Linked DNA regions of Arabidopsis thaliana. The protein of the gene in region 4 interacts with the protein of the main gene of each other region in a pairwise test. Each region holds a gene or a part of one and is shown on either strand. Other genes may lie near its edges.

What was found.
Region 1: the proteins of AT2G37150 (region 4) and PAB3 interact in a two-hybrid assay, tested with the Arabidopsis thaliana proteins (one large-scale study listed by BioGRID).
Region 2: the proteins of AT2G37150 (region 4) and AT5G05190 interact in a two-hybrid assay, tested with the Arabidopsis thaliana proteins (one large-scale study listed by BioGRID).
Region 3: the proteins of AT2G37150 (region 4) and FZF interact in a two-hybrid assay, tested with the Arabidopsis thaliana proteins (one large-scale study listed by BioGRID).

What each region holds. Positions count from the first base shown.
Region 1 is NC_003070.9:8,053,805-8,059,594, reverse strand, and holds PAB3 (poly(A) binding protein 3), read right to left. Parts: upstream 4,271-5,790; 5' UTR 3,997-4,270; coding exon 3,693-3,996; intron 3,179-3,692; coding exon 2,397-3,178; intron 2,305-2,396; coding exon 2,227-2,304; intron 2,141-2,226; coding exon 2,051-2,140; intron 1,960-2,050; coding exon 1,663-1,959; intron 1,592-1,662; coding exon 1,376-1,591; intron 1,012-1,375; coding exon 796-1,011; 3' UTR 535-795; downstream 1-534. UniProt on the Arabidopsis thaliana protein: Binds the poly(A) tail of mRNA. Appears to be an important mediator of the multiple roles of the poly(A) tail in mRNA biogenesis, stability and translation. In the cytoplasm, affects both translation and mRNA decay.
Region 2 is NC_003076.8:1,539,592-1,544,652, reverse strand, and holds AT5G05190 (hypothetical protein (DUF3133)), read right to left. Parts: upstream 3,436-5,061; 5' UTR 2,801-3,435; coding exon 2,680-2,800; intron 2,505-2,679; coding exon 778-2,504; 3' UTR 516-777; downstream 1-515. Other genes in the region: AT5G05200 (Protein kinase superfamily protein), read left to right, coding at 10-126, 265-447. UniProt on the Arabidopsis thaliana protein: Plays a negative role in salicylic acid (SA)-mediated resistance to powdery mildew (e.g. Golovinomyces cichoracearum). May modulate plant immunity by regulating the relocation of EDR1 by interacting with CHC2 and modulating endocytosis.
Region 3 is NC_003071.7:10,400,097-10,404,451, forward strand, and holds FZF (Zinc finger protein 622), read right to left. Parts: upstream 2,839-4,355; 5' UTR 2,710-2,838; coding exon 2,605-2,709; intron 2,493-2,604; coding exon 1,947-2,492; intron 1,870-1,946; coding exon 1,700-1,869; intron 1,613-1,699; coding exon 1,403-1,612; intron 1,320-1,402; coding exon 1,163-1,319; 3' UTR 534-1,162; downstream 1-533. Other genes in the region: RPA2 (replicon protein A2), read right to left, coding at 1-72, 216-320; AT2G24510 (F-box associated ubiquitination effector family protein), read left to right, coding at 4,277-4,355. UniProt on the Arabidopsis thaliana protein: Pre-60S-associated factor involved in the cytoplasmic maturation of the 60S subunit. Involved in the dissociation and recycling of other late pre-60S factors before newly synthesized large ribosomal subunits enter translation.
Region 4 is NC_003071.7:15,603,038-15,609,381, reverse strand, and holds AT2G37150 (RING/U-box superfamily protein), read left to right. Parts: upstream 1-1,781; coding exon 1,782-1,935; exon of another isoform or gene 1,936-3,173; coding exon of another isoform or gene 3,174-3,216; exon of another isoform or gene 3,217-3,388; coding exon 3,389-3,493; intron 3,494-3,627; coding exon 3,628-4,359; intron 4,360-4,434; coding exon 4,435-4,850; intron 4,851-5,040; coding exon 5,041-5,142; intron 5,143-5,219; coding exon 5,220-5,357; intron 5,358-5,481; coding exon 5,482-5,634; 3' UTR 5,635-5,801; downstream 5,802-6,344. Other genes in the region: AT2G37160 (Transducin/WD40 repeat-like superfamily protein), read right to left, coding at 1-49, 153-335; AT2G37140 (Terpenoid synthases superfamily protein), read right to left, coding at 6,053-6,256.

The DNA.
Region 1 (5,790 bases), on a different chromosome or scaffold from region 4:
GGAGAGTGAAGTCAACAAATGATGAGGCAAAGGGTCGGCTCTTGTAGCTCCAATGAGAAGGGTCAGACACATTTTGGACGGTGACATGTATCAACCCCACTCACTCTCTTCTTTATTCACTCATTTTTTTTGTTAGTCTTCTTGTGTGCTAATGTATGGTCAATTTGAAATTAGCACTGATGTTGACTTTTTAAAATATTTTCATATGAACGAGCTGGTTCATGTACCATGCCAACATATGTTTTTCAAATAAATTAATCGAATTAGATTCTTGTTGTGACTGAGAGTATTTTCGATCAACATAAACCATTCAAATTAACGTCATATCAAACACTATTATGAAATGAGTGGTACAATCATTGAATCGCTTGCTTCCAACCCCTCAAAAAGAAAAAGTCTGTGTGCATATAATTGATATCAACTACAAGTTGAAATACAAACCACAAATTATGAGTAGACACATTCGAATAAATTCATAATAGAAGGCTGCTACCATAATAGAAGGATTGTCCCTTGTTGCTGACCATGAATACCGAACAACTTAAATTTCAAGTAGAGATGGATTATTTGGGGATTCGGAAGAAGAAGTCTACTCAGATTATTAAGAAATCATCATTGTCCAAAGAAAAAGAAAAACACCATAAACTAAGTTAAAGACACAAAAACCATAAACTAAGTAAACAAAAAAAAACTGCTAAAATAGTAAAGGAAGACTAAAACCCAAAAAAGAAAAGAAAAGGAGTCGATATCAAAACTAAAAGAAGAAAACAGAGTTGAGCAAACGCATTGCAAATTTCAGTCGGTGGTAGAGAAACCAAGATCATGATCAGTTGGATCAACAGATAGCCTGAGAACATCCAAAGCCTCGGATACTTTAGACTTGAGTGCCTCTGGTGACTCCATCAGGTGCAAGATCTCAGCTTGATCCATCTCCAACAACATTCCTGTGACTTTAGCCACGTGAAGTGGTTCGTGCCTTTCCACAAGTGGGTACAGTTGTTCTCCAAGCATCTGTTCCCAACCAATTTTTTAAAAATAAAAATCAGTAAACATATAAATATATAGATATGCCAATCTCTATCAACTATATATTTATGTGACTTTAACTTTTATTTATTTGTTATAAGACCATAATTCTTTCAAACATTTGATGTTAAGAAACAAAATTCACCAAAACATTTTTCAGTTATTCAGGAAATATTTTGTAAGATAAAATGCAAATGTGACTGACCTCTCTTTGCGTTTGGTTTTGCATCAACAATTGAAAACATATGTTTAGAGTTAAGGGTTTATTATTCAAAAGTTATACACCAAATGCAAAAGAAAACGCAAAACAAAGAAATGTTTAGCTGAGATGGAAGGAAAAGAGGCAAACCCGAGTGCGATCAGCTGGACTAGCAGAAGCTAAGGAAGAAGTGAGCTTAGAGATTGGAAGGAGAGGAGCTTTCTGGTGAGAGATCGAAGAAGCATCTATTGGCAAAGGAATGATAGGAGGTAAGATTCCTTGAGGAACACTCGAATCCATTCCGTTCCTCCCGTTACTCGCACCGTTCATATATCTCATTCCCGGGGACGGGTTACGGTGCATAAGCTGTCAATATTCAATCCAACTCAGTTTCATGATTGTTGAAAACTATAAACAGACTCAGTTTAGTAACATACTTGTTGTTGTTGGATGTGTTGTTGCACGTTAGTAGCACCACGCCTGAATCCCATACGAGGACCGGTCTGAGGTTGTCTTTGAAGCGGATAAGGCACGATGAAGTTGCCCGGGCCAGAACCTGGACGCATCCCGGGCATGAACTGAGGCTGGAATCCATATCCAATGGGCTGGGACGGGACCATACTTGCTCCGTTTTGGCCTACGTACATGTGTTGAGGTGGACCGGGCATTGGTCCACCTGGCGGGTGATGGAACCCTGACATTGGCCCTGGTGCTCTAATCTGTGAAAACAACGCCTGAAAAAATTGCAAACTTATGTACTTAGTCACACATATAGCTTTAACAAACCCATTTCTTTTAAATATGTTAAAAGAGTTTTTAAAAAACCTGTAAGTGTGCTCGTCTATCTTCTTTGCGCTGCGCAAGAGCTATGTATAGAGGTTTTCTTCCGATCATCTTCCCATTCATTTCACTCAGCTGCATTGTCTCATATGTAACAATCTCTCAGATATCAAAAGAGACGAACAATAAAAGAAGAATATATTATAGTTTTAGTAACTCACGGCTCTTAAAGCTTCTTCAGGATTGGAATAAGCAACAAAACCAAATCCTCTGCTCATTCCTTGTGGATTAAGCATAACCTACATTAGTTAAAGGATTGTGTCAAAGACAACGTAACATCAACAACATATATATTTATGAATATATGTATGAGTTTTTAATTAATTATTACCTTGGAGGATGTCACATTTCCATACTCAGAGAACATCTCCTTGAGTTTCTCATCATCAACACTATCATCAAGATTCTTCAAATACAGGTTCGCTCCTTGAGATTTCTCAAACCGGTTTATCCTCTCTTGCTCAAACTTCCTTCTTAGCTCTTCCTCTCTCTCAGACTTCTTTTGCGCCCTCCCAACGTACAACACATCATCCCCTAAGCTAATTCCATTCATCTTCTCAACCGCCGAAGCCGCTGCTTCAGTGCACTCAAAATTCACAAACCCGAAACACCTCGAGTTTCCGCTCTGGTCCCTCATTACAACTGCGCTCGATATCACTCCAAATTTACCAAACGTTTTTCGTAGCTCGTCCTCACCAATCTCCTTGGGGAGATTCTTGACGTACACGTTAGTGAAACGCGGTGTAGGGGTGTTTTCATCACGAGCACGCTCTTGACGTCTGATGAAGTGTCCCACAAAAACTTGCTTGTCGTTCATTAACATTCCGTTTAGCTTGTCAATTGCGGCTTGAGCCGATTCCTCCTTCTCGAACTGGACAAATCCATACCCCTTGGACCGGCCAGTCACGTCCATTGCAACTTTGCATGAGAGGATGGTTCCAAAACTTGAAAACGTCTCGAACAAGGCCTTGTTGTCGATTGAAGCGTCAAGGTTTTTGATGAAAATGTTTCCTTTGCCGCTCAATCGCGTGCTTGGGTCACGGTTCGAAAGCATGATCCGAATGGGCCTATCAAAGAGGGGAGTGTAGTTCAAGGCCTCCATTGCACGGTAAGCTGCAAACATAAATCAACATATAAACATAGGCAAATAAGATCTCAATTCATTATAGAAAACCAGCATCTATGATATTTATAAATGCACAAATACCTATAGTTTCTACAATTAATGAGATTGAAAGAACAATTTCAAACAAATTTCACGTATTAAATTGAACTAATTAAGAAAAATCATAATATAAGAGACTGATGCATCAACTACTAAAATAAATGTTGTAGCTTTGATATTCAAACGAAACATATCAATGTAGCAGAATCATGGTATAGTAGAGATGAACTACAATATAGAATATTGATTATATGTTAATTTCTAGACAAAAAAAAAGATGATTCGCACAGGAACATGATACTGATCAAAATTAATTACCATGTCTAATAAAAAATTGAGATTGAAAAAAATCAAATCAAAACACTTTTTCTTATTGTAATGCAATTCATGATAATATATATATTTTGTTTTGCAAGACATGAACCCTAACTTGCAATTGAAGCGATATAGAATTGTATTTACCATCGTTAGGGTTACTGAAATTGATGTAGGCATATCCCAAAGATCGACGATTCTGATCGCGGCAAACTCTTACCGAGACGACATTAGCAACATGTTTGAACAAATCAAATAGATGTGCTTCAGTAACTTTCGGGTCCAGATCACCGGCATAGAGCGACGAGTTCGGGTGGGTTTGATCGGCTACCACGACCGGGGATGGAAGAGGTATTGAAACCGGAACCTGAACCGAAGTCTGCGCCGTCGGACTGGGAACTTGATCAACCATTGTCGCCGGTGCAACACCTGTGGCAACCGCCGCCGCCATGATTATGAGTTTACTTTTTACAAGACGATTTGTTATTTTCGTCTCGTGAAAGGAAACAAAATCACTGATTCTAAAAAAACAAAGATTCGATGATTTGTTTCTGTAAGGGTTTTAAGTGAGAAAGAGATTTTCTGTAAACAACATGACTCGAGGATTTGTTTCTTCACAATTTTTGATTTATTTATTTTTTAGGAATTTTATTCTTATTTAGATTTTTTTTTTTCCTTTTTTAGTTTCCTCCGATTATCAAGAAGAGTAAAGAGGGATAAAATTGAATTAGTGTGATGAGTGTGGATGCATATTTATACATAACTAGCTAAGCCTATAAAACCGAGCAATTAACAATTTAGTATAAATAAAATGTCACTTGATTTTACTATTAATAGCTAATTGAATATTTCATGAATCTTTGATAATAAGAATTGGTCGCAGTTTTAAATTATGTTTGCCTTTATTTCTTTTTTTATTACATGAGGTTTTATTTTAGTTACACTTATCGAGCATGTGCTAATTTTGTTTTCTATATCGAAAGCAACATTAAATTTATTTATTCATAAAAAAATGCATGCTTCTAAGGCTTATAAGCACACAAATCTAATTAATTTCTAATAATATAACTAATGAGGTCTTAAGAGCTAAAATTTAATAAATTGATTTAACATTTACTTTGGATAAAAATTGTGATTTTTTATTTATGTTTTTGATTAGAGTAAAGACGAACAACTAATTTTTCAGAGCAAAATTTGCGGCTATTGATTTGGTCATTACTAAGATATCAATCTTATTACTATAAATAGACACATGAAACTATTTTTAGATTCTTTTGACCAGATATTAGATTATGAATTTATGATAAATAAATTGGTAATTTTTTAGTTAGTTGAAATTAAATCAGTTGTATTGTTGATGATGTAAATAGGTTTAGTAATGCTACGAAGTAACTTATTAAAAATCATGGATAATGGAATCTTTTATTTATTTCAATAGACTACAAACCCCTTTAAATATCATACACATATATTGATACACATATATAGATTCAAGTTTTTTATTAGGGATAAAATTGAATTAGTGTGAAGAGTGTGGATTAATATTTATACTTAACTAGCTAAGCCTATAAATCCGAACAATTAACAATTTAGTATAGGGAAAGTGTCACTTGATTTTTACTATTAATAGCTAATTGGTGTTTCATAAATCTTTGATAATAAGAATTGGTCGCAGTTTTGAATTATGTTTGCCTTTATCGCTTCTGTTTTTTACATAAGATTTTATTTTAGTTACACATATCAAGAATTTGCTAATTTCATTTTCTATACCGAAATCAATACTAAATTTATTTATTCATAAAAAATGCATGCTTCTAAGGCTTTTAGGCACACAAATCTAATTATTTTCTAATAGTGTAACCACTGAAGTCTTAGGAGGTAAAATTTAATAAATTTATTTAACATTTACTTAGAATAGAAATTGTAATTGTTTTTTTTTTTTTATGTTTTTGATTGGAGTAAAAGATGAACAGCTAATTTTTGGGAGCATAACTTGCGGCTATTGATTTGGTCATGACTAAGATATCAATTTTATTACTGTAAACAGAAACATGAAACTATTTTTATGAAACTATTTTTAGATTCTTTTGACCAGAATTTGGATTATGATAAATGGATTGATGATTTTTAGTTAATTTACCCATGCCAATTATACTATAGTATCCTCAACTATGCCGGTCAACACTGGTCTTCAACGGAGTAAATTTATTAGTGTACCGGAATTGCATGTCTGTGGTGTTAACTA
Region 2 (5,061 bases), on a different chromosome or scaffold from region 4:
TTCTTGCAGGAACTAGATACAGAGATAGTAGTGGCTACAGCTCGTGGAACAAATTCAGACACTACTGCTGTTGCTGCTAACGTAGTTATGGATGAGAGACAGATGAATGCTCTTTTCCTCGACCTGGTAAGCAGTTAGACGTAATTTCTTAAGGATTTTTTTTTGGTTTGAAAGTTGTTAAGAGGATATAGAAGTTGCATTGAGTTAAGATAAACCCCAGGATTTGAGCTTTCAGCAGTTGAAAATAAGTTCACTTTCTTATAGGTGCGTGTTAGCGAATCATATGGTCTTAAGTTCCCGAGAGAGTTTGCACTTCTGTTGAAGCAACTTCTGTACTTCGATCGATACACAAGACTATTAGCCCCAAACCTGAACATGCTGCAGGATCAGCGGATCTCTATCGCGTCCAACAAGAGGACGAATGGATACAAGGACAGCTTCAACTAAGTTTATGCAAATATACTTCACTAAACCTATTCAAACTTTTTATTTATTTACAAGTGGTAATGTTATAGTAGATTATCAAGCCAAGAACGATGATGAATTCAATCTTGTTACAAACATATCATGACTATATACAACAGATGAACTATATCTTCTTCTATTTTTTTGTATAATTTTTCACAAGTGTCATGGTTTCTACTTTAAACAAAAGTGCAGAGACAAATCTTTTACCTATACACAGAAGTGAAATAAAGAATGGCAAACAATGGCAAAACTTTCCATCTCAGATTCTCAGAAGTTCATAGTTCTCGTTGCTTCATCTGAAGCAGAGATCTATATAGAAGGAGGACGCTGTGAAACTTTAAAGACTTGGCTTACAGTAGAATATCCCATTAGTCGGTGAAGCGGAGAGCCTCTAGCCACAGGTAGCTCCTCATCCTGAACAGAGGATCTCAGCTTTTCAGGTTTGGAGGGAGCTTTGTCTATGGGAGACTCTGATGTTGAATTGCTATTCCTATTAGCATTTATGTCATGTGTTACTGCAGGAACTAAATGATTTCTGGACTGAAGTGAGAATCTGAGAACAGTGGTGCAAGTGCCGCATCTGAGAAGATGATGTTTCCTCTTGAAAATGAGAAAGTCTACAGGAAGCTGCAGGTTTTCTGAGCAACTGTAACAGCTAACAAAAGGTGCCCCACCAGCTGTTGGACGGACATGACGCTTGGCCACACGTTGTCTCTCTCTTAGACGACGGGTCTGTAACTCATGGTGGTGGCCAGCATGTCTATTACGCTGATGATCCTCCACGTCTGAGACTATCTCACGCCTCCATCTCGGATGATACTCAGGTTGTTCCATTGGTCTCTGTGGACTTGCAGAATATGAACTGTAAGAATTATGAAGCTGACCTGAATACCAACCGCCATGGTTTCTTCCCATTTCACCTGAGATCCTACTTCCTTGGCCCTGACCTCTTGCCCTTGGGTTGTTGTGATACATATAGTCAACAAAATCGTGGTTCATGCCTCCAGCGTATGAAGGCATTTGAAGTGAGTGTGCACGGGGATAGCGATCAAACTCATCATGTGACGGATGGGAAGGGCTTCCACGTGTGTATGATTCTCTCGGATAGAAAGGCATGTCAGGCCGAAGTTGTTCTGTCACATGTCTCCTCCCTTGTCTGCCAAGGCGCCCTCCTGGTCCCTCTAGCTGTAGAGACCTGTTCTGATGCCGCTCGTTGTATGTGGTAATCCCATTGCGCCTATTCTCAGAGAAAGGGGAGGAGGAACTAGCGCCTTGCTCCTTATACCCAGGGTATCTATGCATCTCAAATTTGCCTGATCTTATTTTCTGAAGAGCATTCCATTGTTCGTCATCATCGAGAAGTTGGCCTTCCCTTTCGTCAGAGGAAGACTCACTCCCATCATAAGCAGAAGAAGTCTTGTTTGCAGGATAATCAAGTTGGCTTTGCTTCTCTTCAACAGGGGAAGCATCAGGTGAGATCTCAGCATTGCCAGATGAATTACTCGCTCTTGCAGCCACCACATCATAAGCAGAAGGAGTCTTGTTTGCAAGAATGTCAAGTTGGCTTTGCTTCTCTTCTACGGGGGAAGCATCCGGTGAAATCTCAGAGTTACCGGATGGATTACTCGCTCTTGCAGCCACCACATGATCAACGCTCAAGCTTCCAGAGCTAGATCCAGATCCTGCAGCTTCTGCTACGGTGTTCATCATATGAGACTCCAATCTGGAGTTGTCTTCTCTTTCATTCTTCTCAGAATCACCAAGTGAACATTCCTGCTCTTGAATTTCATTTGTCCCATCTCCATTAGATAACTCTAAGTCATCAAGCTCCTTCTCCGTAGACTCCATGGATGCATTCCTACCTTTCTCATACTCTTGGTCCACGGAACGACCTGGAGATGACGGCAGAACCGTGTCCTGCCCCGAGCTGCTGGACACATTGTTGGTTTCAGGTACGCTTTGCGGCTCATTGGCTTGAGCCCTCTCTGTCTCTCCTGCACTTGGTGTACTGCTTGGAGCAATGTTCCGCCTTTTCGCTGAATCAAAGAAGCAACAACCAAATTTAATAATGAAAGAGATCATGCCACAAAACACAACTGGTTTGAGCTCAGACATCCAAACAGATGGACAACCAGGAGTAGAACAAAGCCAGATTCAGGGACAGAGTTCACATTATAATCAGAGGCAAAATCGAAATGGAAAGAAAGTTACCTTGAAGAATGGCGGAACAACCACCGCACTGATAAACAGGAACATCTTCGTCTTCCTGTAGAATCTTCAAGCACTTGGGACACCTCACCAACCGAATTTTCTGACCCGTCTGGCTCGCCATTGTTGGTACCAAATTTCAAAGACTTAACTCTACTTTTGTTATTTTTGGGTTATAACTCTACCTCATTAGTTAGAGAATCATCATCAACAGAACCCAGAACCCTAATAAACAGAGAGAGAGAGAGGAACCAAAGTAAAAGATTGAAACTTTGTGAAGTTCTTTAAAAGAAAATGGGAGAGGAGACCAGAGGAAGAAGGTCAACGCGGTGTGACTTTTAAGGAGGAGAAATGGTATAACCCGGGTCTGGTCTGAGAGCTGGTTACGGATCCGGGTAGAGATGAAAAATGGCGAGAAGGAAAAGATTACATGATTCAAGAAGCCATGAAAATTGTGTAAGATCCTCCACAGAAGAATCAAAGTAAAACTCTTTGCAGAGAGTTATTATAACTCGAGGGATTGTGGAAGAATAAACCCAGAAGTTGAAGATTTTATAGAGAGAGAGAGAAAGAATGAGATAGAAATAGAGAGGAGAATTTCTTGTCGTGGGGGCGAAGTAGAAGAAGAAGAAGAAGAATTGAGAGAACAGAGACAAAAAAACAAAAACAAATCGTTGGACAGACAGTTTTTTTTTTTTTTTTACTATGGTTTCTCTCTTTTCTTGTTTTTTTCCTCTGAGAAAAGTCTCTCTTTTTCCGTGTCTAAAAAGTTTTTTCTTTTTAATATCTCTTTGAGGAATTTTTTGGTATCTTTTTTCATTCTTGCAAGTCAATTAGAACATCAACGACTCGTTCTCTAATCACTATTCTTTCTTAAACAAAACCCAGTCTGTTGTTGATCTTTTCAATAAACAATATTGGCCCAATTTTTTTCTAAAGAAAGCATCTGCAACAGAGCTTTGTTAGAAGAATTAAGTAGAGGAAGATAAGAGAAAGAGTAAATTGGGTTCAGCTAAATAAAAATTTGGATAAAGAGTTATAAATGGAATGGTGTTGTTAATGTCGGCGCCTGTTTCATTTATTTTGGATAGAGAAATTTTAGCCCCACTACTACTTCCATTTTTCTCATTTATTGATCCCAGTCCTTTTTTTCTTACTTTTTACCATTACCTTCTTAAATATTTCCTAACATTCGAAGTTTGAATATTCCGGTAAATGACTAAATGTTGCCAAGGGAAATTAAATTACCGTGAATGTTGAAATGAATTGGGTTCCACATATTTATTTCTAGGACCTGACAAAAAGCATAATGATCATATGTTTTTCGTATATATATTTATATCACTGGTCGAATTTAACGAACTTTTCATTTTTCTAATGAGAATTCACTAGCCGTGTGAGTGTTTTCAATCACTTTTATTTATAACCAGACAAGTTGAGTCTTTGGTTCATAACCTTTTTAGGTATGAAACCAGTTTTCAAATATAGCACCTACAAAGAATTTGAAATTGATAGCAACGTAACAAAATATTAATCTTCAAATTGGTTCATAAAGTTTTAGGGAACTTGTGAGAAATAAATGAATAAAAGTTTTGTAGGGCTATCTCAAGTCAAATAGTATATATTAAGTATTAACGTACATGTATATCACATTATTTTTTAACGATATGAAAAAAAACTAAGGTAATGGTCGACAGACTCGGTCTTTTATCGTTTTGTGCTGTCTAGTTTCTCTACTTTCTAGATTATCGTTTTGGCTTTGTGATTCTGTAAAAGTCAACCTTTGTTGTGGTGTCCTATTTCTTTGTAGACTTAATTAGAGGTTGCTTCAATATTTGTTTTCTCTGCACAATCCAATGACTAACGGGATACGATTCACAAAACGAATCAAATCAAATCAAGTTCAATACCATTCGAGTCTTCTTCTTCACAGATTACAAATTCGATTATGCGTTGACTCTTTAATTGAGTCAATGGTTTGGACCACTACATGGTTTGTAAATGTTTATTTCTATTTCAAATCGCTAGCTGTTACCTAACATTCAGGACATGAACAAAAACTATCTTACTAAAAAAAAGTCAAAATTAAAGTTTCAAATGTATAAAAGATAATATTGGAGGTCAACTCCCATTTGACAACATTCATATATAGTTATAAATTGATTTTGTTTTTCTATTTACTGTGTTCCCATGATGTTTCGTGAACACATGAAGTTATGGTATTGAATAGAATGGATTTTCTTTTAGTTTTTGGTTTATTCTACAGAACAAGCTCTTGAAATAACTAAAAAATTCACTAACTAAAAACTTGTGATATATACCATGCTGGTTATATTCGCACAACGATTGCAATCATAATTGGCTACTATAGACGATTTAATTGAT
Region 3 (4,355 bases), 5.2 Mb from region 4:
TTCACCACTGGATTGGAAACATTCGGTGATTTGCTTCACCGTCACTGGAACAAGACCTTGAAAATCACGATTCTGCATATTCCCACAAAACATATACAGAGCAGATTTAGCAATTCCAAAATCGATTGTTACAGAGAAACGTTTAGCGATTCGGAAACTTTCGATCTGTAGCCTAATCGGTGGAATTGAACGAAATGGAAGATGGATTATATTACCTTAGCGGTGGAGGAGGAGGATTCGTAGGCTTGAGAAGGTTGAGAAGACATGAATCCGCCGCCGGAGAAGCCGGAATTAGGCTCGAATTGGCTGCTGGAGAACATTTTCGAAGCTACGAAATCGGAAAATCGAAAGTAACTGTGAAGAGATTTAGGAAGTTGAAAAGTGATCAAAGTAAAGGGAAGAGAAGATTTTGGGGGAATTTTAATAGCGACGAAAGAATTTTTGGGGGATTTTCCCTCCAATTTTGATTAGAGCTTCCCGCCAATTAGGGCGAGGTAAATCTATAATATAATTACTTTTTAATAAATTCAGTTCTCCGGTTTACTCTCAGTTCAGTTTATTCGACTCAAAAGCTTTCCGGTTTAGAAGACTTATGATTTCGATGGGCTCCTGTGAAGTTGGGCTGTTGGACTTTGGAAAGAGTTAGGCTTTAAACTTGTTCCTCTCTCTTTTGAAACAGTAGTGCCTGTAAGAGAGAGCAATAGAGTGATAAATAATAAAGAGATATAGTGGATGATGCAAGATATTCGTGTCGAGATTTACTCGCGGTTTGTGAGGAACTCGTAAATCGACCTGTGCATTTACCTTTATACAATTTATCAAGATAGCTAGAGAAAGTGAAGTCGAGAGCATTCGTTATCTAAAACAAATGTATAGATAAGTGAAAAGTGTACTAGATTTATGATTTAGCAGATAAAGATTGATTAGCTCTTGATCTTCTACCAAATGAAATATAGATTAATGTAGAGTGTACAAAGCACTGGGCAAGAGATACAAACTCAGCCAAAACGTAACATTTTCAAAAGACTAAATCAGACAAAACAGAGACCCAAATGGGCCTAAGATACTTGAGTACTAGTGAAAAACTTAGATAGATTTACTCACCAAAACTCTGGTCACAAAATCAAACAAAGAGGAGAGACCTGAAAATCGAGGAGCAAGACTAATAGGTGACATTGTTGGGCAGATTCCTGATGACGTTGCTCTTCATTCCGAGCCTGACACTGCTTTTCGCTCCTCTTTTGTTCATCTCTCTCATCACCTTCATCCTCACTATGGCCTCCTTTGACTGCACTGTTGCTAGACCCATCATCTTGTACCTGTGTTTTAAGACCCATTCACGTCAGATTCAAATTCTACACAGAGACAGTGATAAATGATCTCTGATCGGTTAAAGACAAACCTGGAGGTTAGAGAGTTGACAATATGCTTCTGAGAAGACGGTGCTGGCTTCTGTTTGTAGTAGCGCATGAATTCTCGAGACCCAAGAGTCCTAGACGTTACTTTGTTATCGGTTCTCTTGGTGATCACAAGCTCAGACCCACCAAAAAGCTCTACAGTGTTCACTGACTCACCGGACACAACCATCTGATTTTCGTCTCCATTGACATAGCTGTACAAACACACATCAAAAGAAGACACAATTAGTTCAAGCACATTTAGACACCAACAACAGAGGAGAAAGCAGAAGAAATGGAACCTGCTGCTGTAGTCATAGAACTCTTCAAGTTCTGCATCTTCTTCATCACCACCATCACCATAATGCACTTTGCAATGACCTTTGGCGTCCATATGCTTACGAACAGCTTCCAAACTACTAAATGGATGGCACAATTCATTGCAGTACAGACACACGAAGTCTCTCTTGACCTGAAACAACAACCATGTAAGTACTAAGTAGCAAAGAAAAACAAAGATCTAAGACAGACTAAGCACAAAGCACAAACCTTTAGACCGAGGTAGGTCAGAAACCCTTTAGGATCCTTCAAGTACTCAATATCAGGAATGAAGAACCCATGAAACTTATGCATATGAACCATACATTTCTCTATAGTCTTATGCTTCTTATCACACATCAAACAACAAGCCGGATCCAACTCAAATTCAATACCATCTTCATCCATATCTTCTTCTTCACCATCCTCATTCATTTCCGCATCCAAATCCTCATCCGAATCAACCTCAATCCATTCATCTTCACTCTCTTCCTCCTCAATCGAACCCTTCAATTGAGCAGTGTTATTCTTCTCAACACGACGAGGCGGAAGCTGCTTGATGATCGCTTTATCCTCCTCTCCAGTACTCGTCGAAGCCTTCAAAACATGACTCTTCGACTTAAGATGCTGCTCATGAGCCTTGGAACTCCTGTAACCTTTGTTACAGATTCCACAACTATAAAGCATCGGTGCTTCAACAGCTTTAACCTTCTCTTGAGCTATAGCAGCTTGTCTAGCTTCAAATAGTGCCTCTGTTACTCCAGGAACACCAGCTATCTATAAACATTTCAAAACCAAACTAATCATGAACTAGAAGAACCAAAATCAAATCCATAAACCATAGACGAACTTAATCGCGAAACGAAAACACAAGAGATTGAATTCTAACCTTGCGCTTGAGATTGTAACGGTGCCATTCGGATTTGTAGTGAAACTTCTGCTCAGCGTCGTCTTCGAAGTCTTTGTTACACGAATTACAAGCTAAACCTGACATCTTTCTCTATCTCAGAATAAAAACTCAGAGAGGAAGAATTCGAGGATTAGGGATGGCTTTGGTTTATATTGGAGGCGACGGCTCATACGTAGGTCGGCGAAATTTGTTTAACGACAAATCTCCAAATCTTGTTGTGTTTGCGTAAGCAGTGATGTTAATATGGGTCGGGTTAAGATGGCTTTGGCCCAAACGAAATTTTAAATCGGGTTAAAATACATTTTGTGAAGCTAATGGGCTTTCTAATGGGCTTTTAGATAAATCGATTAGGCTTATTGTAACGAAAACCCTAATTTTTATACACATATACGCAACGCTTTCTTCCTCGAGGGATGAGATGAGAAAGACAATGATGATCTCCGATCTTCCGGACGATTTAGAATCGGAACTCTAGGGTTTAAAATCTTCTGGCCATAGCTTTAATATCTTCTGATGTAACAGCGACAGTTTGTCTTTTCCAACAACTGATAGAACCACGTTTTCCTCTTTCGTTTAAGAGTTTTAATCGTGAAGATATTGCAGCTCTATCAGTTGTTGGGAAAGAAAAACTCTTAGTTTTACATCAGGATTTTCATGATTTTTCTTTATCTTCTGGTTTTATTGATGTTCCTTTGTTCGAGCTTAGTCATAAGTAGTTGTTTCTATTTATTGATATAATGATTTTTTTAATACTATACATAATGAATTCCATGGTAAAGCCATTTAGACATTATGATTGCCAAAGTACTTGAAAGATCCTAAAGGGTTTCTAAAGTACCTCGGTCTACAGGTTTGTGCATTCTGCTTAGTCTGTCTCATCACTTTCATTTACATGGTTGTTGTTTCAGGTCAAGGGAGACTTCGTGTGTCTGAACTGCAATGAATTGCGTCATCCATTCAGCAGTTTGGAAGCTGTCCGTAGACTACAATATTAAACGGTTTTGGTGATAATAATGTACTAGCTTTTTAACCAAAAAAATAAAAATAAAAATATTGTATGTATTACTAATAAATACGGCTAAATCACAACACTTCTACCTTTAAAATCCCGAGGGTAAGTTCTGCGAAAATCCGAATCTAGCAAATACAAATTGAGTTTTGCAATGCCATCATTTTTATGAAGAAGCCAAAAAGGGTTTGGTACTAGGTGAACAAGACCTAAGGAAAGAGGATGAAAAAATTATAAAGGAAATGACGTACTAAACTATTCAATACCTTTGAAGAAAACTTTCTATTTGTAAAAGATGAAGAAATGTTTGATGAACACTCTAAAAGAAAATAGCTAAGAATCATTTGCATCTAACTTGTTGAGGAGTGATGATGATAGGAAAAATTGTAACAACTCAAATCCAAAAGAAAAAGAGGGTACAACCGTACAACCCAAGAGCTTGAGACCCAAGTTTCTAGTATATATGCTAAAAACATAAAAGAAGATCAGTGGAGGTAATGGGCTTTTTAACAACACATAATAAGGTTTTCAATAAATGGTATGGGCTTATTGTAACGAAAACCCTAATTTCTATATACACTTAAATATACTGTACGCTTTCTTCCACAAGTGATCAGATCAGCAACAACGAGAAAGACAATGATGATCTCCGATCTTCCGGACGATTTGGAATCTGAAATACTCTCTAGGGTTCCAACCAAGTCTCTAGCAAAATTGCAAA
Region 4 (6,344 bases):
CTTTCAAAACATAAAAATGAAATGTGCATTTGATATTCTTACACAAAACCTAATAGCAATTTCGTAATAGCAATCACAAGTGCAAAGAAATCAGATTGGATTAAACTTTCAATTCAAAAATAAACACCAAAGAAAACGAATCAAATCTTCACCTGAGTAACGGTTTTGCCATGAGTGTAGTGAAGAAGCCCAGAGGGATGCGTCTTCTCGTAGTGGAGCTTGTACTTTCCTTCAGGCGTCTTGAAATACGTTTTGATTCCCGGAGACTGAGGATTCGCCGCCGAAGCTGACGAAGAAGAAGGCCCAGAGATCATCCCATTCGAAGTGTTCATCATATTTGCTCACTTGCTCTTTCTCTAATTCACAAGCTACTTAGAGCATCCGATCATGTCCCTCCCAAGCTAGGGTTTACCCTTCTCCCACTACACAAAATCCAAAAATCTTCTCTTCTTCAATGCAAATTTCTCTAAACTCTGTTCATCATCGTCGCCAAAATCAAAATGGAACTTTAATACTCCTGGATTCGCCAATGGCTACTGGATCAAAAAGATTAATACAATGTGGATTCCGATTCGCTTCCTTTATTGCTTTCTTAATCATCCTCTTAACTCATCAATCAAATTGACTATTAATGGATAAAATCAAAGTCATCTCGATCAACGGTCAAGATCCCTTTAATCTCTGAGTTTCTCGAACCCTTTTGATACGTACAGCTGAGGCCCAAGTACAGTCCAAAAATATAGGCCCATTACTGAAGAACCATAGTTAATTAATAAATTGTTTAGTCGACAATAAGACAGTGAACGGGTTTTACCGGTAGCCGGTGAAGTTGGTCAGAGAAGGGATTAATGTCCCGGCAACGTCGTAACTCAACCGCTTTAATTTGATTTTTCTTAAATATAAACCGATACTCTTCATCGCTCAACCATCACCAAAAAAGAAAGCAATTTGTCTTCAAAACATATTTCTCTCTCTAAAACCTCTTTTTCATAAAAGGTTGCGTCATCTATACGAATCCATACGTCTCTTTGCTTTTCTCCGATCGGTCTTCTTTTCTCATCGCCGGAACGCTTTGGTAATGTTTCTCATTTCTCCGATCATTATTGTTGTTTCGCCGTTGAGCTGATTATTTCGTGTTGGTATGTATAAACAAGCCGATCGTTGTTTCCTTTTTTCTCTTGTGATTGTGTGATGATGGATTGTTTCTTTTTTTCGGTTTAATCCGGTTTATTCCCGGTTTTGCTGCTACATCGGTGACTTTTCCCACAATCTTCGGGTATGATCGCGATCATGTCCGTTAACCGGAGTCGGTTCTGATAATTTCAGACTTCGAATTTGTTCTCTTTCACGTAGTTGTTAGCTTTTTAAGATTCCGATACTGAGAAGAGACCAGCTCGGTGATTAGAGGAGATGTTGTAAGCTTTGTGTTTTGGTTAGCTGTTGATAATGTTGTTCAGGCTGCTACTTCAGCGATGCGGGTAAGCTAGTTTGGGATATAGTGTATTAGCATAACCTAGGCTTAGCTGGTTTGTATCCTGCAGGCTGCAGGTTTAGTGGCAATGGTGGTTTCTAGTTCTATCATACCTTTCTCCACCACGAACCTCTGGTAGTTGAGAAACTGGAGAAAAGCCTAATCAGTGATTCAAGTGTTTGGAAGATTTGAGAACTAGTACGGCTATAGTTTCAGGTCAGAATTCATCTTCCTCTTTGAGAACTTTTAGAAACTTTGAAATTATGGCATCATTCTTAAAGAAATTGCATTGATAACACATTTCAAACAGATGTTAGTTCCTCATGTTAGCCCATTAGGATTGGTGGCTGGCCTATCCTTGATGTATTCTGATTTGCGGATTGTGTTGTGGACCTTCTTGGTTGATTGGGAAAGCAAAGCGAACTTGAACTCAAGTCATCTAGAAGTTATTCTGATCCATAGGGGTAAGGAAATAACCATAACTAGTCTCTGCCATCACATGTGTACCAGAGTGTGTTTAGTCAGTTGAAGATGCTTGAGGTACGGTATCCATGAGTGGGGAACTTCAATCTTCCTAACAAACTACATCTATCATATAATGGTTTCTAGAGTGACATGCTGTCACGTACAAGCATTTGATTTGGATGCACAATGATGTGAAACATAATGCTAATTTTAAGAAAGCATCCTTTCACACAAGCCCGAATTCAGGAGTCTATTAAGGTGTGCTGGTGGGTTTGAAGACAATAAGAGCGCAGAAATAGTAAATGAGGTAGTAAGCCTTTGCAGGCTAGTACTTTTGTGGACTAAATCCGTTTATCTAAGGAAACTGTAGTGTATTCAATTTGTGGATCAGAGGAGAAGGAATAGAATTTGGTGTTCTCATTGTATTAGTGAAGTCAAGGGCCTAATTGCTTCCTGTTGGTCTACTTTAAAGGTGTGCAGAAATGATGAATCAGTGATCAATCAAGCACGACGGCTTTATCACTTGGGTAGTGTAGTGTATTCGTGGTTAGGACTTTCTAAACCTATATCCTTCTAGGATTATTTGCCTGCAGGTGCACTTTTGAGGGTTTCGGTTCAGAAAAATATTTTAAGCTTAAGTCCTGCTATTGGATTTTCCATGTAATTTTCTTGCTCATGTCATCTATGGTTGTAAGTTTAGTGAAATACATGTACAAGGCCTTTACTTGAATATAAACGAAGAAGTAGTACATTGATAGAAACTGAAAAGATGATATCAAGTGTTACCTATTTTGCATGAACTTGCTCTGATGCTCTTTTATGCGGATACAGTATATGATAATTTGCCATCGTGCCTTATTCTTTCATCCTCTTCTATTTCCTAATCAGTTTCCTATAGACTTTTCTGTAAATTCTATAGACTTTTTGAAAGTGTGTAATTTGATGAACTCCTTGTATTACTCTTCACTTTTGATGGCTCTGGTTTGGAGAGTCGAGAACCTTAGTGATACTTTAAATGCAAAGGCTTCTTAGTTTCCCAACCGTGCTTGTTTTCTGCCTCTCTTTTCTTTTGGTTTAAAAGAAGTATGTCTGTTGTTATTGACAAACTCTTCTATGTAAGTTTTTCTTATGAACTAAAAGATCTGTACTATTAAGGTTTATTTTTCATGTATAAGCATCATGAACTTTCCTGCAGCACAGAGCCTAAGTCCACAAAAACTTGTTTGCTTATGATATCATGAGATCTGAGGTATATAATATGGTAGGTACATGTTACAAAGGTAATGGTACTAGAGCTTGAAACTATGGACTGATTTCTTATATATTTACTTGGGAAATTTGGCTATCAGACTGAAAGTAAACTATGTTGGTTGGAAATTATAGATTTTTTTTTTTTCTGAGCTTGCGGATGTTTTCCTGGGATTTTGAATGGTGAGAGAAATTTTTGTGCAGGTTTAATGGGGCACAGACATTTTCTTGGTTCATCCCAGTTTTTTGATGATGAACATGATCAAGGCTGGAATCATACACACCCAGAACATCCATATTCGAGTCAAGGTAATTAGTCCTTCATTCTATAGTTCCTTAATCTGTTTTTTATTTATTGAAATTTGGTTGATGATGCATGTTTAGTTTTAGGGTAATATGTTCCATATTTCTGATTAATTATTGTCCATCCCACATTTTCTCAGCAACATCTGGGACCAGTGAGAACAGATCACATGTTTATCCAGCAGAAAACATGTTGAATGAAGGAATGCCAGTGTCTTCTCATTGGAACTCTTCTCCAGGACCAAATGCTTATACTGACTCAGGTCATAGTGTGGAGAGACCACACTACAATCCGGGGGTTTCGGGGCCGTCCCATGATCCTTCCGTGAATTCAACAGTTCCAACTTTCTCTGCTCCACATGAGAATTATGTGACATTTGCATCTTCTTCAAGCTACAACAGCCAGACATGGTCAAATGCTAGTTATGTTGATCATCAATCTATGGAAAGTGTGAGAGGAGCACAAAAGAGAAAACGACCATGTCCTTCTTCCATCTATGAAATGGGTAGTTCAAGCCAATATCACGGTGACAGAACTCCTGCAGACACTCATTTCCCCTCGGAATTGCACTTGGGAAAATCAATAACGCATGATCATGACCCTCATTACATGCCATGGCTTATGAACCCAACTTACAGAAGTAATAATCTCTCGATCAGGGGAGAGAGCTCTTCAAGGAATGTCCGGAGTCGTCCTACACTTGATTCAGAGACCAGCTTAGGTAGAAATAATTTGCCAAGAAGCTTGAGCCTTGATTCTCATTCTACACACCACCACAGTGTTGATCATTATGGCTCAGGTCAATTTCCTGGTCAGACATCTCACGGAAATAAAGACTGGAACTGTGCTAGATTGTCCCCAGTTCTTAGAGGTATGCAAAGTTCACTTTGTCTCGATATCTGAATCGTCTTTGTTTCTAATAATCACATTAATTCCCACTTTGCAGATATAAATGGCTTTAGTCCAGAGACAAATAATTTCCTTCCTGCAAGAAGTGTTGTCAACAGCTTATCTGTTAATACTTCCGGCTATCATCACCATGAGCTTACCGGAAACAGAAACCCTACAGTTTCCCACGGGGTTCCTGGAACTTCAACACTATCTACAAGCAGCAGCCGCTTCTCTCATAGGTCAACATCCACCTATAGATCTTCTTCACACGGTTCGCGATCGGGACATGTAGCATCTTCTTCTGGAGACAGGTCTCATTTGGTCACTGAGACTTATCCGTCTAGGCATTTAAGGCCACCACCACACATTTCATGGCGTAGCGGTGATCGGCCAGGGAGACGCAGAAGTTCCTATGAGAGGTTTCAGCCTCCTTTCGATGAAGTTGCTCTCCACGAACGGTTTTCATCTGAGGTATATATTTCCCTTACAGATGCATTATTTAGAGTGGAAGTCTGTCTAAATTACATTTAGTATTAAGATAAAGATCAAGCCGATATGATACAGTGCATATCGAATATTAAGATATAGATTTGCAATCTTATCATTTTCTGCTGCATGCTGAACTGTAATCTGTTATTTTTTGGGGTGTATGTAATAATAGGAATTCATGGTTGAAGATCGCCAACCACAATACTACGGATCCAGAAACATGCTTGATCACCACAGAGACATGAGGCTTGACATCGATAACATGAGCTATGAGGTTAATAGCCAAACACTTATCTTTTGAAGCCTCACATAGGCAAAACGAAAAGTTTTGGTACTGACATATATATGCAGGAACTCCTTGATCTTGGAGAAAGGATTGGGAGTGTCAACACTGGTCTATCCGACAGCGCAATCTCCAGTTGCTTGTTAGCAACAATGTATTATCCATCATATCAAACAGAGGAGCAAAGAAAATGTGCAATCTGCCTGGTAAGATTTAGTTTTTTTTTTTTTTTTCACAACCTGGTAAGATTTAGTTGTCTGAAACATTATGTGTCTATAAAGTTAGAAGTAGGCTAACTTAAGGGTGATGTGGTAATTGGTAAACAAATAGGAGGAGTACAAGGAAAAAGAAGAGTTAGGGGAAGTTAAGGGGTGTGGTCATGACTACCATGGGAGGTGCATCAAGAAATGGTTGTCTATGAAGAACTCTTGCCCTATTTGCAAATCCCCTGCTTTACCTGATGCTTCTAAGAACTCATCATAAATTATAGGTTATCTTTTATGTGTGCATGTTATATTCATTTGTCTTTCGAAAGGAAGAAAAATATGTGACAGAATATAACATTAAGTTTTCTTAGTGATTAATAGTTGTAAATAGAAGAAAGTCCAGGATCTTTCTCAAGGGTTAATATATATGTTAATTATTGGAAAAGGCTCTCTTTGGAAAATCTGGATTTGTTACAGATGCAAATAGTTACACAACACTTCACACTATATGGTATTTCATCTTCAAAGAGAAATAAGATTGACAAATAAAGAGATGATATAGTCCTTGAATTTTCCTTGTGGATGGGTGAATTCTTCACCGGTCCTGTAGGTCACATCTATCATTTTTCCAGCATTAGTGGCCCGTGATAAGATATCGCCTGATATTATCTTCCTTGACTTCAAGTACACTTCGTTCACTGACTTGGCCGTCTGGATTTAAGCCACTCATAACTTTTTCTTCTAGCAGTTTGTACCAACCCAAGAAAACTGCATGAAACAGTTACATACATTGACACCTCAACACCACCAATCTCCAAGTACTCATCGAATGTAGGCACGATGTCTCCTTGTGCCCACTCTGCATAGCTAAGGTTGGCCTTTGAGTATAGTTTGAACTGCTTAATGTTTAGGAGCATATATACAAAAAGATGTTATGTCTATGATAATCTCTTTATGTCGACCGTTATTAGTGAGGTACTAGCTAAG